3 linked regions of the Danio rerio genome follow. The protein of the gene in region 1 purifies or fractionates together with the protein of each later gene. This does not show direct contact. Links are inferred from orthologs where the notes say so. Each region holds a gene or a part of one and is shown in the gene's direction. Other genes may lie near its edges. The genes, in order: sin3b, suds3 and gatad1.

Region 1 (4,296 bases):
GGAGGTTTGCTGAAGGTGCGCAGCTGTTGTGCAGTGAGGTATTTGCGTCTTTAATAAACTATAGCAGTTTTCGTTCACTGAATAGTAGGATGATTAATAAATCCATATGAAACAGTCCCTTAAAAGTCACGTCTCGCTTTCAGTTTCGGGCTTTGGCGCGTTTTGCACTCACACACAAGCGTACCGCGCTCAGGCCCATCTCTTCCAACCGGGCCAGGGCTGGCCAAGTGAACCATGCCTGAGCCCGATTCAGCGCACTCACACTTCTCAAACGATCCGGGAAACAGGCCTAGGCATGGTTCAGATAGCATAGTGTGAGTGCGCCCTTAATGACTGTATCGGTACTTGCCAATCTGGCCGATCACATGAACTGATCGCAGGGGTTTGTTTATAAGTTTACAAGCAGAGGAAGATACATGTGCGCTCCTGTATGTTACGCATAGCCTACAGCAGCTATGATAGTCTTTTTGTTCCAAGTGCAATCATTGTATTTGAAAATATTTAAATGGTCTTTAGACCTTTTTACATATAACAACTAAATGTTATGTGTTTTTGACAATATTGCAAGTTCACTTAAAGCTGGCTGCAAAATTAGATAAATAAAACTTTAAAAATATATTTTTTTCTTAAATCGTTAATAATATAACATCTTGTAATATACTTATTGCAAAACACACTAGTTTATTAGCCTATTGCATTTATAGGTGTGCATTTTAATTTCTTATGCATCAAATATGCGTTTTAACTTCTTTTTTTATTGAGACATGTTGAATTCTCCTTTCATCATTTGCAAGGTTTCTAAGTTGCAATGTTTGTCATTTTTTTAAACACTTTTTATATCTGTTATTATTTTCTGTAAAGCTGCTTCTGGCCATGACATGTCCACACTAAATGGTTAAGAGAGACATGTTTATGGTATTATTTGCAGCATTCTTAATTTATTCTCTTAGATAAGGCGAGATCTCCACTTAAGTATCATACTTAGAGGGAAAATGTGCTTAATGCATTATAAAGCTTTAAGCATTAGAATCTGTACTAGGTATCGGCCAATCACCATGACAAAATTGGTACTCGTTAACGACTGCAAAAATCCTGATCGGAGCATTCCTAGTGTCACAGCAAGAACTTTGCAGGACACCAGCCCTCCAGGACTGATTTTGGGCACCACTGTATTAAATGATTCATCATCAATTGATGGAAGTCTAGTGACTGTATATAGAAATACACACCCAGATAACATATCAGTACTTGTCTTCAAGAAAAGACTAAAAACTCAACTATTTAGTCTCCACTTTCTTTCGTAATCTGCAATTGCCTCTCTGGCTGTACTACTAACTGTACTCAAAAAAACAAAAAATAAACTTACATTACTAATGCTTTGCTTCTTAGACTTTACACACCTGAAACTTGCCTACAGCACTTATTCATTGCTGCTCTTATAGTTGTGTAAATTGCTTCCTTGTCCTCATTTGTGATTCGCTTTGGATAAAAGCGTCTGCTAAATGTCTAAAAGTAAATGTAGTACTCCGTATTGGCTGATACACTTAGACCAGGTATGTGCAACAGTAACAGAACCAGAAAAGGCTCAATCATGTTTTTTATGTTGAGGTTGGCCATAGCATGGTATAGATAATCCCACCACTATGCCCTTGTTATTTTAGACCACTTTTGTTATCAAATTATCATTATGGTTTCTAAAATCAACTAGCAAACTGGAAGCAAAACCAAGCTTTTTTATGCATCTATTTAAATACAGATTAGCTCTTTTCAATGGTGCATGTATTTAAAGCCCTGTTAGTATAAACTCTTGCTATATGGTTTCTGTGAAACATGGAGAGAACATAAGCACAACTCAACTAAACCCTAAACCCTATGCCCTTAGCCATGGATTGATGGGGAAATATTTTAATCTGAGAAAAATGGCAACGTGTATTTTTCTAGAAGAAATGTTGATTGTATGCTTTGTAAAGCATGGCAATTTGTAACGATCTCTTTAAGTCTGCTAGGTTGCAGCACGTTGACAGTTGTTCTGCATCCCTCTGTGTCTCCTGCAGGAATGTGAGACATTTCCGTGGCTGGCAGATCAAGCAGGTTGAAGCCATGCGCTGCCGGAGAGAGTGGCATAGAAAGATGGGTGTAGAGACAGCCGGAAACCTGGACTGCCGATTCAAACTGAACACACACAAGATGGTGTTTGTGATGAACTCCGAGGACTACATGTACCGCCGAGGAGCCCTGGTGAAGGCTCGGAGGGTATGTAGATAAAATACAAAACAAGGCCTATATAGTATGTATGTGGTATGGGCAGGACAGCAAATTTGATGTTTTTCTCTTCTCTTATCTGGCTGTCATTATCAGTCACATTATACTTGTTTTCCTTTTTTGAAATTCTTGATAACCCCATTGTTGAGTGTTTATTATTTCAGCAAATAGGATTGTAAAAATATTATTTGTTGTACTCTTCCATTCACTGTGCTCTAAGTTTACCCATCTATGATGACTTCCTTTACTGAATAACCCGGAAATGTGAAAAAAGGTCCATTTAAGTGTTATTTTCTTTCAAAAAAAAAAAAAAAAAAATTCTGACTCAAGCATTTGAATGGCATTGCATTTCTTTATGTCTTAATGTTGTCCTGTTTCTGATTGTAGTCTCAGCACAGAGTAGCGAGGGCTCAGCACGAGCGCTTTGAGCAGTGGCACCGGGGCTGGCTGAGTGAACACGTGTCTCCCGCCGCCGAGCGCAGTGTGCAGGATTGGCTCATGGGAGAAGAGGATGAGGACATGATACCCTGCAAGACCAATTGTGTGTCCCTGCAGGTCAAAGGCTTGCATGTCAACAGGTACCAGGTGCACTACAACAGCAAGGCCCCCGCCTCGCCGTAACAACCTCACGCCTTCAGATGGAGTTTTGTGATCTCTCTCTCTTTCTCTTTCTGTCTCACTCACTGATTCATTCTCACGGCCGAGGTCAAGTACTCTCAGCCCAAACACAGCATTTAAGGAGGACAGACAGCTGCTCAGAGGAAGAAATCCTCATCGACGAGCATCACATCTCAACACTAGTCCATCATGGCCGATGCAGTTATCAGACGTTTCAGAAATGTGAATGTCAAAAACTTTTTTTGTTTGTTTTTTTTTAAAGAAAGTCCATTGTAGTTTTTAGCAACTGAAAGCAGAGTTTGTTTTGTTTATACTGAAGTATTGAGAGACTAGGTTTAAAGTATGTCTGCAAACATCTGTATGTGTCTTTTTGTACAGTACAGTCGACTCAAGAGCTCGAGCAATTGCATATATGCGGCAGAAAGATTATTCCGTGTGCATTTCCTTGGCTATGAATGATGACCTGGAAAAAAATTATGTTTTCTCTGGCGCACACTGGTATCCTATCCGTAATGTCCTTGTTTTAGTTCTCTGTTTTGTGTTCTTTGTTTTCATCGTCTCTTCTAACTAAACAGGATTGCCGGTGTCGTCCGTCAATCACTGCTCATGATTTATAGTCCATTTTGTTAAATCTTTCAGATCATGTATCATATCGATCTCGCCAAATCCTTGCTTTTGTTTGGTGTAATTTTTACATATTAAAACAGAAAATGACAAAATATCAGTGTTTTGAAAAAAGAATGTATAACATTTATCCTGTATCAGTTATCACAAAATAAACAACCTAGTTGTGCAGTTCTTAAAGAACGGGTTACGATTCTTGCTGAATTTGACATTAGCTTTAATTATGCTGCATTATCCCTTTTTGATCATTTCTTTGGTGACCCTTTTTCATAGAGATGCTCCGATCTGAATTTTTGCAGCCGATACTGAGTACCAATTTCTTGATCGGCTGATACCAATTACTGATTCATATTCTTCAAGCTTTATACAGTTTTGCCATTGTATAGGCACAATTACCCTTTAAATATGAGATCTCACCTTACCTAAGATAATAAATAAAGGATGTTGCATACATGTAATGGTCAGAAGCAGCTTTACAAAAAATAAATAAATAAATAAAATATGGTAAAAAAATTACTAACAATGCAATTTGGAAACATTGTTCATGTGTTGTAGCGCTGCTGATGTATAACCCAGGTGCGCACATGCATCTTCCTCTGCTTGTAAACTTATAAACAAACTCTTGCGATCGGTTCATGAGATCGGCCAGATCAACGAGTACCGATCGAGTTGTGAAATGTGATTATCGACAAATACCGATCTCCGGCCGATCGATCGGAGCATCTCTACTTTTTCATTTTAATCCATATTTGAATACTTAGGTGTAGGGCTGCACGATATTGGAAAAATCTA
Region 2 (4,173 bases), on another chromosome or scaffold:
ATGGTATCCAGCGTGGATGTCGCAATAAACCCCGCGCGACTGACAAAGAGCTGACAAGCATCTGACGCTTTTAAAAACCCATCGTACCTGCTACAAGGTAACAGCGCTGATAAACGATCTCGCGAGTCAAACCGCTTTTTAAACTCAACGCCGCCATCTGCCGGTTGGATGAGGAACAACTCCCCTAGACACAATAGAAATGACAGTAGCTATCAGAAAATTGATTATAACACAGTCAAATGATAATTAGATAGATGGTTTACCGTAAATTATTTCACCTGTCCAGTCAATATAATATAGTATTCAATTTATGTGTAGTTAGATTGAACAAGCAGAGGTTGGATTGGTTTTCTTGCTAATTCATCAAACCATCAAACCATTTAATAACACCTGTTATTAGTTAAATATGTAAATCGATAACAGATCCCTAAATAAGTGTTGTTAGCTTTTATATTTTATTTTAAATAGCTTTGTTGTTGCTTTGTTATTTACAATCAATGTAAAATGTTGTTCATTGTTGTTGCATTTCTTAAACGAATTATTATTAATATTATTATTATTATTATTATACAATTCTCTATATCATATTTTAGACTATATTATTATTATATTATTACATTCGTAAAGTAGTAATAGTTGAAGGAACCTAGACTAGTAGTAGTACTAGCAGCAGCAGTAGTAGTAGATTACGCAATACAATTGAGAGGCTGTCAGAATACTGAATACAGTAATTATTTTACTACAGTTAATATTTATATTTTTCCAAAATAATATTAAATATAATTCACTTACAGTTGATTCCACTTTGTTCGTCAGAAACAATGTCAATAATGATTAAAAACAAACATTCGGTGTTTGTGAATGGGCAAGAAAACCGTAGCCAAAGCAGTCTGTGAGATGAAAATGAAACTCGTTCTGTGTCATTCATTCAACAGACGTAAATAGCGACACTAAAATATAGATGAGCATGTCTTTTCTCATAAGTCATTTCAAAATGACATTCCGTACGCTTACCTGAACGTTATAAGGTTTCATGATTGAGAAGTGTTTAGCCTTATTAACTTCAGAAATTCTTCTTGTTCCTTGAATGATAATAAGAACAATACGCGGACAGAGTACTCTCTCTTTCTCTCTCTCCCCCTTCCCATTTCTTCTTTCCCTTATGTCATAATTGCGCACAAGCGGTTCATACTACATTTCCCATCATGCGCTGCTCGAGCATCTCGACCAATCAGATTCCTCGGCCTACCCTCCCGTTGAAAAAAAGAAGAGGCTCGACAGACTGAAAACGTTGTCGGTGCTGTGTGATTGTTTACACGTTGGTGTTTCCTGCGGTGTTATCAATATTTTAAACTAATAAATGGCCTCGACTTTATTGTCACCCATGGTGGATTATTATAACGACGAGGAAGAGCTAGATAGCGTTGATGAAGATGAAGATCGCAGTTTCAGAGGCAGAGACTCGGAAGAAGGTGAATACGCACAAAAATAGCCAGTTTACATTTTAATACAATTATATAATAAATTATTGATTAAAATTATCATTTTAGTTGTGAACCTGTAAGTTGATAGCTGTTTGAGCGCCGATATATGTTAACGTAATGAAAGTGTATGCATGTGTTTCGACTTGTATGCTCGCTGGGTTTTTGCAACTTCATTTGAATTATTTTATGTTTATTGTGATCGTTTTAGACGTAAATAGGGACTGTGTGGGAATTTAACTACATAATGGCTATAAATGTTGTCATACTTGTGCTTTTTGTGCTCTCCAGCCTGTTGATAAACAGCTAGCAGAGTTAGCATAACGTTACGTCAGGAAGCATGAAGTTACTATGCTGTTAAAATGCTTGTAAAATGAGACCCACTTATTTGTATTAAGATGTATCAGAGGACGTTCTTGCATTCAAAGTAGAATATTAAAAGCTGATTAGTTGTAGTTGCTAATATTTGGTTTGGTTACTTGCTCAGATGTAGGCTCTAGTGGTGTTGTAAAGATTTGATATTAACGTATATTTATGAAAATCAAATCAGTCTTGAACTACAATCGTATTTGAATGCAATTTCTTTTCAAAAATGTTTTGTATTTAACTTGGGTCTATAGAAACCTCCGGAAAATGTAGAAACGTGCTTTGTTTTTATTATGCATTGCCAGCATCCTCAATGCATATAAAGTTCATCATCCAGTTTTGAGAAAAATAAAGAACTGATGAATATCAAATGTTCCCTCACCACATATACAGTTGAAGTCAGAATTATTAGCCCCTCCTGTTTATTTTTTCCCCAATTTCTGTTTAACGGAGAGAACTTTCTCCCAACACATTTCTAAGCATAATAGTTTTAATAACTCATTTCTAATAACTGATTTATTTTATCTTTGCCATGATGACAGTAAATAATATTTGACTAGATATTTTTCAAGACACTTCTATACAGCTTATAGTGACATTTAAAGGCTTAACTAGGTTAATTAGGTTAACTAGACAGGTTAGGGTAATTAGATAATTTATTGTATAATGATGGTTTACTCTGTAGACTATCAAAAATATATAGCCTAAAGGGGCTAATAACTTTCTCCAGAAGAAAAAATATTATCAGACATAATATGCAAATGTCCTTGCTCTGTTAGACATAATTTGAGAAATATAAAAAAATATATATAGTAAAGTCAAAGGGGTGCTAATAATTAAAATATAATTAAAATATTTAAACATTAAAATAAAACCTTAATATTCATTTCAATTCAATTCAGCTTTATTTGTATAGCGCTTTTACAATGTAGATTGTGTCAAAGCAGCTTCACATAAATGGTCATAGTAACTGGAACAGTGTGGTTCAGGTTTTAGTGTTTAAGTTCAGTTCAGTTCAGTTTAGCTCAGTTCAGTGTGATTTAATCATTACTGAGAGTTCAAACACTGAAGAGCAAATTCATCGATGCGTAGCTCTACCAATCCTGAACCATGCGAGGGAGTGGCGACAGCGGAGAGGGAAAAAAAACTTCACCTGATGGGAGTGAAGAAAAAAAACCTTGAGGGAACCAGACTCAGTTGGGCACGACCATTTTAATTTCTCCGCTGGCCAAAAGTCTTGTGCAGAGCTTCATTCGCCGTGGTTTAGGCTGGAATAATAAACATTGGAAAATACAATATTACCCTATAATAATTAGTTAGTATAAGAATCACTCACCAAAACTGCATTTATTTGATCACAAATAAAATATAACATAATTTGAATTCAATAAGGGCGACACAGGGGCTCAGTGGTTAGCACTGTCGCCTCACAGCAAGAAGGTAGCTGGTTTGAGTCCCAGCTGGGTCAGAGTTTGCATGTTCTCCTGGTATTGACGTGGGTTTCCTTCAGGTGCTTCGGTTTCCCCCACAGTCCAAAGATATATGCCATAGGTGAATTGGGTAAGCTAAATTGTCCATAGTGTATGTCTGTGAATGAGAGTGTCAGTGTATGGATGTTTTCAGTACTGAATTGCAGGTGAAAGGGCATCCACTGTGTAAAAACATATGCTGGATAAGTTGGCGGTTCATTCGTCTGTGGCAATCTCCAAGCCGAAGGATAACAAATGAATGAATGAATAAATAAGATAGCTAGTGTAAACTACTTGACTCACTTACCATATAAATATATTTAAACTACACTGTCTGTCCGCTAGATGGCGCTATATATGTTTACAAGTCATTTGAATAATCTATGTTCAAAACTCAGTGGGATCATTTCTAGCTTTAGTGCAGTTAAGTGTCGTCAGTATGTACCATATATTATTCTATTGCTCTTATTGAATTTTTTATTATTGTTTTGTTATAGACACAGAAGATGCCAGTGAAACAGATCTTGCCAAACATGATGAGGACGACTATGTCGAAATCAAAGAGCAGTAAGTATTCCTTCTGACTGACTACCATTCACTTATGATTTATGTGAAGGGATTCTGTACATTAGAGCTATTTTTATATCTCTCTGTCTATCTGGCTGACATACATCTGAAAAATTGTATATAACTGTTATTATATTGGTATTTACTTATTTAATTGTGTATGTTTACATCTATATAAGTATGTTGTAAAGAATGCTATTTGTACAATTAATTAAAATTAGATTTGAATTATTATATTGAAAATTGCATATGTTAAAATTGCCTTTGATGCTGATATTGTGTTAAACCAT
Region 3 (4,140 bases), on another chromosome or scaffold:
TTTTGACAAGAGACTTTTGTTTTGTATTACACTGAACAGGTCGCCATGTTTTGGTTTATGATTTACTCTGTGAAGACATTAATATAAGTATAATGAAAGGTGAAAACGAATAGTTGGTGCATTTACTTAGTTTTTTTTTTTATTATAGATATAAGACTTTTACATTTAATTTTTACTCTTTTGACTTTAGATGATTCACCTTTCTTTATAAGTGATGACTAGTTTTTACATCTAAACCTGAACGTTTTGTGTAGAAATGGATGGATTTTGCTTTATGTTTTTGTTTATTTTACTGAAGTGTTTTTGGTGGTGGTATTTTATATAAGTTAATTCAATTCTTTTGTTATTTTAAATGTGACCCTTTTCCTTGAATTGTCATTTGCACATTCATAGACTATACTTGATACATTCCCAGTTTGTATGATGTGTAGCCAGTAAACAGAAAGTATTGGAAAAGGTTTGCTCGGATTAAAAGGTTTTAAACTCAATCTTATTTGTTGTGGTTCATGGTAAAACTAACGCAACAGTGTACATGCTTTCCTAAAATTTCACGACAGTGAACGGCGCCCTCTAGAAGTTTAAGGGTCATTCTATCAGAAACATCAGAATCTATATAGAATAGATTTTCACTTATAAATAAATGTGACAGGACCTGTCTTAAGCTTGTCATCCTCAAAAAATCTTACAATTCAATGATAAAGTGCATCCTTGAACACCGTCAGCTTTTTCTCTGTCAAATGATGTCACTTTCGAGTCATAGCCTTAAACGTGTTTGCACACATTGTATGTTAAATTTAATGTAAATGTGACAGGACTGACAGAAACATGGGGACAATTGTAAATGTATTTGTATTATATATTTGTAGGTTTTTTTTTATAATTTAATGTTTTTTTAATCAATTGATGTGGATTATAAAAACTTAAACTTCCTATTTCTAAATGTTTTTCTTCTAAATTACAGTTTTTAGTATTAGAAAACTATTAAAGCTGTAGGTTCAGTTGGGCTGAGAACAATGACAGAGTTTGTACAGTGTAAAGTGTTTTTAATAAAAAACACTTTACAGACATATTCCTCTACAGAACAACTCACAGATATCAAACATCAGAACATTTTAGATTTTTTTTTGGGATGAAATACTTTTTATTCACTGTATCTGTTTTATTTCAGGGAAATAATGTATTTTAAATTATATTTTATTAGACACTAACGCAGACTTTTACTTTGAAAAAATACGAACTCTTCCTAAGCAAGACTTTTATTTTGAAGTTCGCACTTTCGTCCACCGGAAGTTTTTTTTATTTTTTTATCATGGTAAAACATACGGGACCTATCATTCATTGTTTTAATAATGAAGGATCTCTATTTAAGGTTAAAGTAAGGGTCATATTGTTTCAAAATCGCATTTGTTGATACATGTAGACTGTATTCGCTTTTTCAACTGAAAAAATCCAACGGTTTACTTCAGAGATAGCTGCAGGAGCGTTGACTGGTGTTAGCAAACATGCCTCTTGGTTTAAAACCATGCTGTGCTGTGTGCAAAACACAAAGTTCTTCCATGTGGAAAAAGGGAAACCAGGGGGAAATTCTGTGTAATGGCTGCACGGGTAAAGCTGTAAGCAGCGGCGGCTCCGGAGCTTCTGCTTCTTCCACCATCCAGCAGAATAATGGCGGAGGGAAACAGGTACGAAAGCTGTTTTAATTAATAACATTTCTTTAACTGCTAACGTACATTTTAATCAACAGTGTGGCTGGCTGGTTATACATTGTTATGGTGTTTGTACTTAGATTTTAAATCGGTGTGTTCATGTATGTTTTTTTTCCATTGGGGTAAGGTTTTATTTTCACTTGAACGTTAACTTACCTCAATGTTTTAATACACTGCAAAAATGCGTTTCTTACTGTCTTGTTTCTGACTTAAAGTTTGTCGAAATATCTAAAAATTGTTAAATCCAGAAGCGTTTTCCTGAAACAAAAACAAAATATGTCGTGTTTTCAGAAATAATTAGTAAAAACTAAGTGTATTTTACATTAAAACAAGCAAAGCAGTCGTTGGTAAGCAAAATAATGTTGATTTTTGCTGTTTTTTAGGGAAAACTCACTTAATTTAGAATAATTATTTCTGAAAACAAGACAATTTTTTATTGTTTTAGATATTTTTGTCTAAAAATAAGACTAAAATAAATCTAACGTAAATAAGAGAGTAATTTATTTTGCTGTGTTGCACTGTGACTGTGAAAGGCGCTATAAATACATTTTACTGATATTTTCCAAGATTTATTTTAATCATATAGGCATATACAATAATTTAAATGTATGTACTTTTGGATAAGACTTTATTTTACAAGCATTATTTATTCCAATATGTTTTTATTTTTTAATTATATACACAGTTGAAGTCAGAATTATTCGCCCCCTGTATATTTTCCCCCCATTTTCTGTTTAACAGAGAGCAGATATTTTTCAGCACATTTCTAAAAATACTAGTTTTAATAGCTTATTTCTAATAACTGATTTATTTTATCTTTGTCATGATGACAGTAAATAATATTTGACTAGATATTTTAAGACACTTCTATACAGCTTATAGTGACATTTAAAGGCTTAACTAGGTTAATTAGGTTATCTAGGCAGGTTAGGGGAATTAGGCAGGTTATTGTATAATGATGGTTTGTTCTGTAGACTATCAAAAAACAATATATATATAAAGGCTAATAATTTTGACCTTAAAATGGTGTTTAAAAAATTAAAAACTGTTTTTATTCTAGCTGAAATAAAACAAGACCTTCTCCAGGAGAAAAAATATTATCAGACATACTGTGAAAATGTCCTTGCTCTGTAAAAATATTTAAAAAAGAAAAGAATTATTCCAATTATTGAATTTTTTGACTTAAACTGTATGTATTTTATACATATTTTTATGGTAAGTTTAATATATGGACAGTATTTCTAAATGAAACCACTTGTGTTTTCTCTTTTTCTTTGCAGTCCAAACAGGAAATACACAGACGCTCTGCTAGGTTAAGAAGCACTAAGTATAAAGCACCGGCATCTGAAAAAAAAGTCTCCACCAAAGGAAAAGGAAGACGACATATATTCAAACTGAAAAATGTGAGTTTTAATCAGGTTTGTTTTTCCTTGGTGGTGTCCTGTGTCCTTTTCTTACACATGAAATGTACACTCTCTGGCCACTTAATTAGGTACACCTTACTAGTACCTGGTTGGACCCTCTTTTGCCTTCAGAACTGCCTTAATCCTTCATGACATAGATTCAACAAGGTACTGGAAATATTCCTCAGAGATTTTGCTCCATATTGACATGATAGCATCACATGCTAAAGATGCTCTATTGCACAGGTGTCAAACTCAGTTCCAAAAGGGCCGCAGCTCTGCACAGTTTAGTTCCAACCCTAATTAAACACACCTGATCAAACTAATTGAGTCCTTCAGGCTTGTTTGAAACCTACAGGTAAGTGTGTTGGAGCAGGGTTGGAACTAAACTGTGCCGGGCTTCGGCCCTCCAGGAATTGAGTTTGACACCCCTGTTCTATTGGATTAAGATCTGGTGATTGAGGAGGTCGTTTGAGTACAGTGAACTCATTGCCATGTTCAAGAAACCAGTTTGAGATATTTCACGCTTTGTGCGTTATCCTGCTGGAAGTAGCCATCAGAAGATGTGTACACTGTGGTTATAAAGGGATGGACATGGTCAGCAACAATACTCAGGTAGGCTGTGGTGTTGACACGATACTCAATTGGTACTAATGGGCTCAAAGGGTGCCAAGAGAATATCCCCCACACCATTACACCACCAGCCTGATCCGTTCATACAAGGCAAGATGGGTCCATGCTTTCACGTTGTTGATGCCAAATTCTGACCCTTTTTTTGCACCCACAGAACTGCCGCTTACTGGATATTTTCTCTTTTTCAGACCATTCTCTGCAAACCCTAGAGATGGTTGTGCGTGAAAATCCCAGTAGATCAGCAGTTTCTGAAATACTCAGACCAGCCCGTCTGGCACCAACAACCATGCCACGGTCACAGTCACTTAGATCACCTTTCTTCCCCATTCTGATGCTCTGTTTGACCTGCAGCAGATCGTCTTGACCATGTCTACATGCCTAAGTGCATTGAGTTGCTG

What was found.
Region 2: the proteins of sin3b (region 1) and suds3 purify together in Homo sapiens (affinity purification with mass spectrometry; 3 studies listed by BioGRID and IntAct, counting the BioPlex papers as one, with this or other methods). This does not show direct contact. The link is inferred for Danio rerio from reciprocal best matches to the Homo sapiens genes SIN3B and SUDS3.
Region 3: the proteins of sin3b (region 1) and gatad1 purify together in Homo sapiens (affinity purification with mass spectrometry; 5 studies listed by BioGRID and IntAct, with this or other methods). This does not show direct contact. The link is inferred for Danio rerio from reciprocal best matches to the Homo sapiens genes SIN3B and GATAD1.

Annotation. Positions count from the first base shown.
Region 1 is NC_133183.1:15,973,345-15,977,640, reverse strand, and holds the end of sin3b (paired amphipathic helix protein Sin3b), read left to right. Parts: intron 1-2,054; coding exon 2,055-2,253; exon of another isoform or gene 2,254-2,536; intron 2,537-2,649; coding exon 2,650-2,883; 3' UTR 2,884-3,684; downstream 3,685-4,296.
Region 2 is NC_133180.1:16,231,097-16,235,269, forward strand, and holds the start of suds3 (sin3 histone deacetylase corepressor complex component SDS3), read left to right. Parts: upstream 1-1,250; 5' UTR 1,251-1,360; coding exon 1,361-1,472; intron 1,473-3,813; coding exon 3,814-3,883; intron 3,884-4,173.
Region 3 is NC_133194.1:46,813,799-46,817,938, forward strand, and holds the start of gatad1 (GATA zinc finger domain-containing protein 1), read left to right. Parts: upstream 1-1,291; 5' UTR 1,292-1,375; exon of another isoform or gene 1,376-1,466; 5' UTR 1,467-1,502; coding exon 1,503-1,682; exon of another isoform or gene 1,683-1,828; intron 1,829-2,986; coding exon 2,987-3,109; intron 3,110-3,198; exon of another isoform or gene 3,199-3,467; intron 3,468-3,558; exon of another isoform or gene 3,559-3,832; intron 3,833-3,930; exon of another isoform or gene 3,931-4,140. UniProt on the Homo sapiens protein: Component of some chromatin complex recruited to chromatin sites methylated 'Lys-4' of histone H3 (H3K4me), with a preference for trimethylated form (H3K4me3).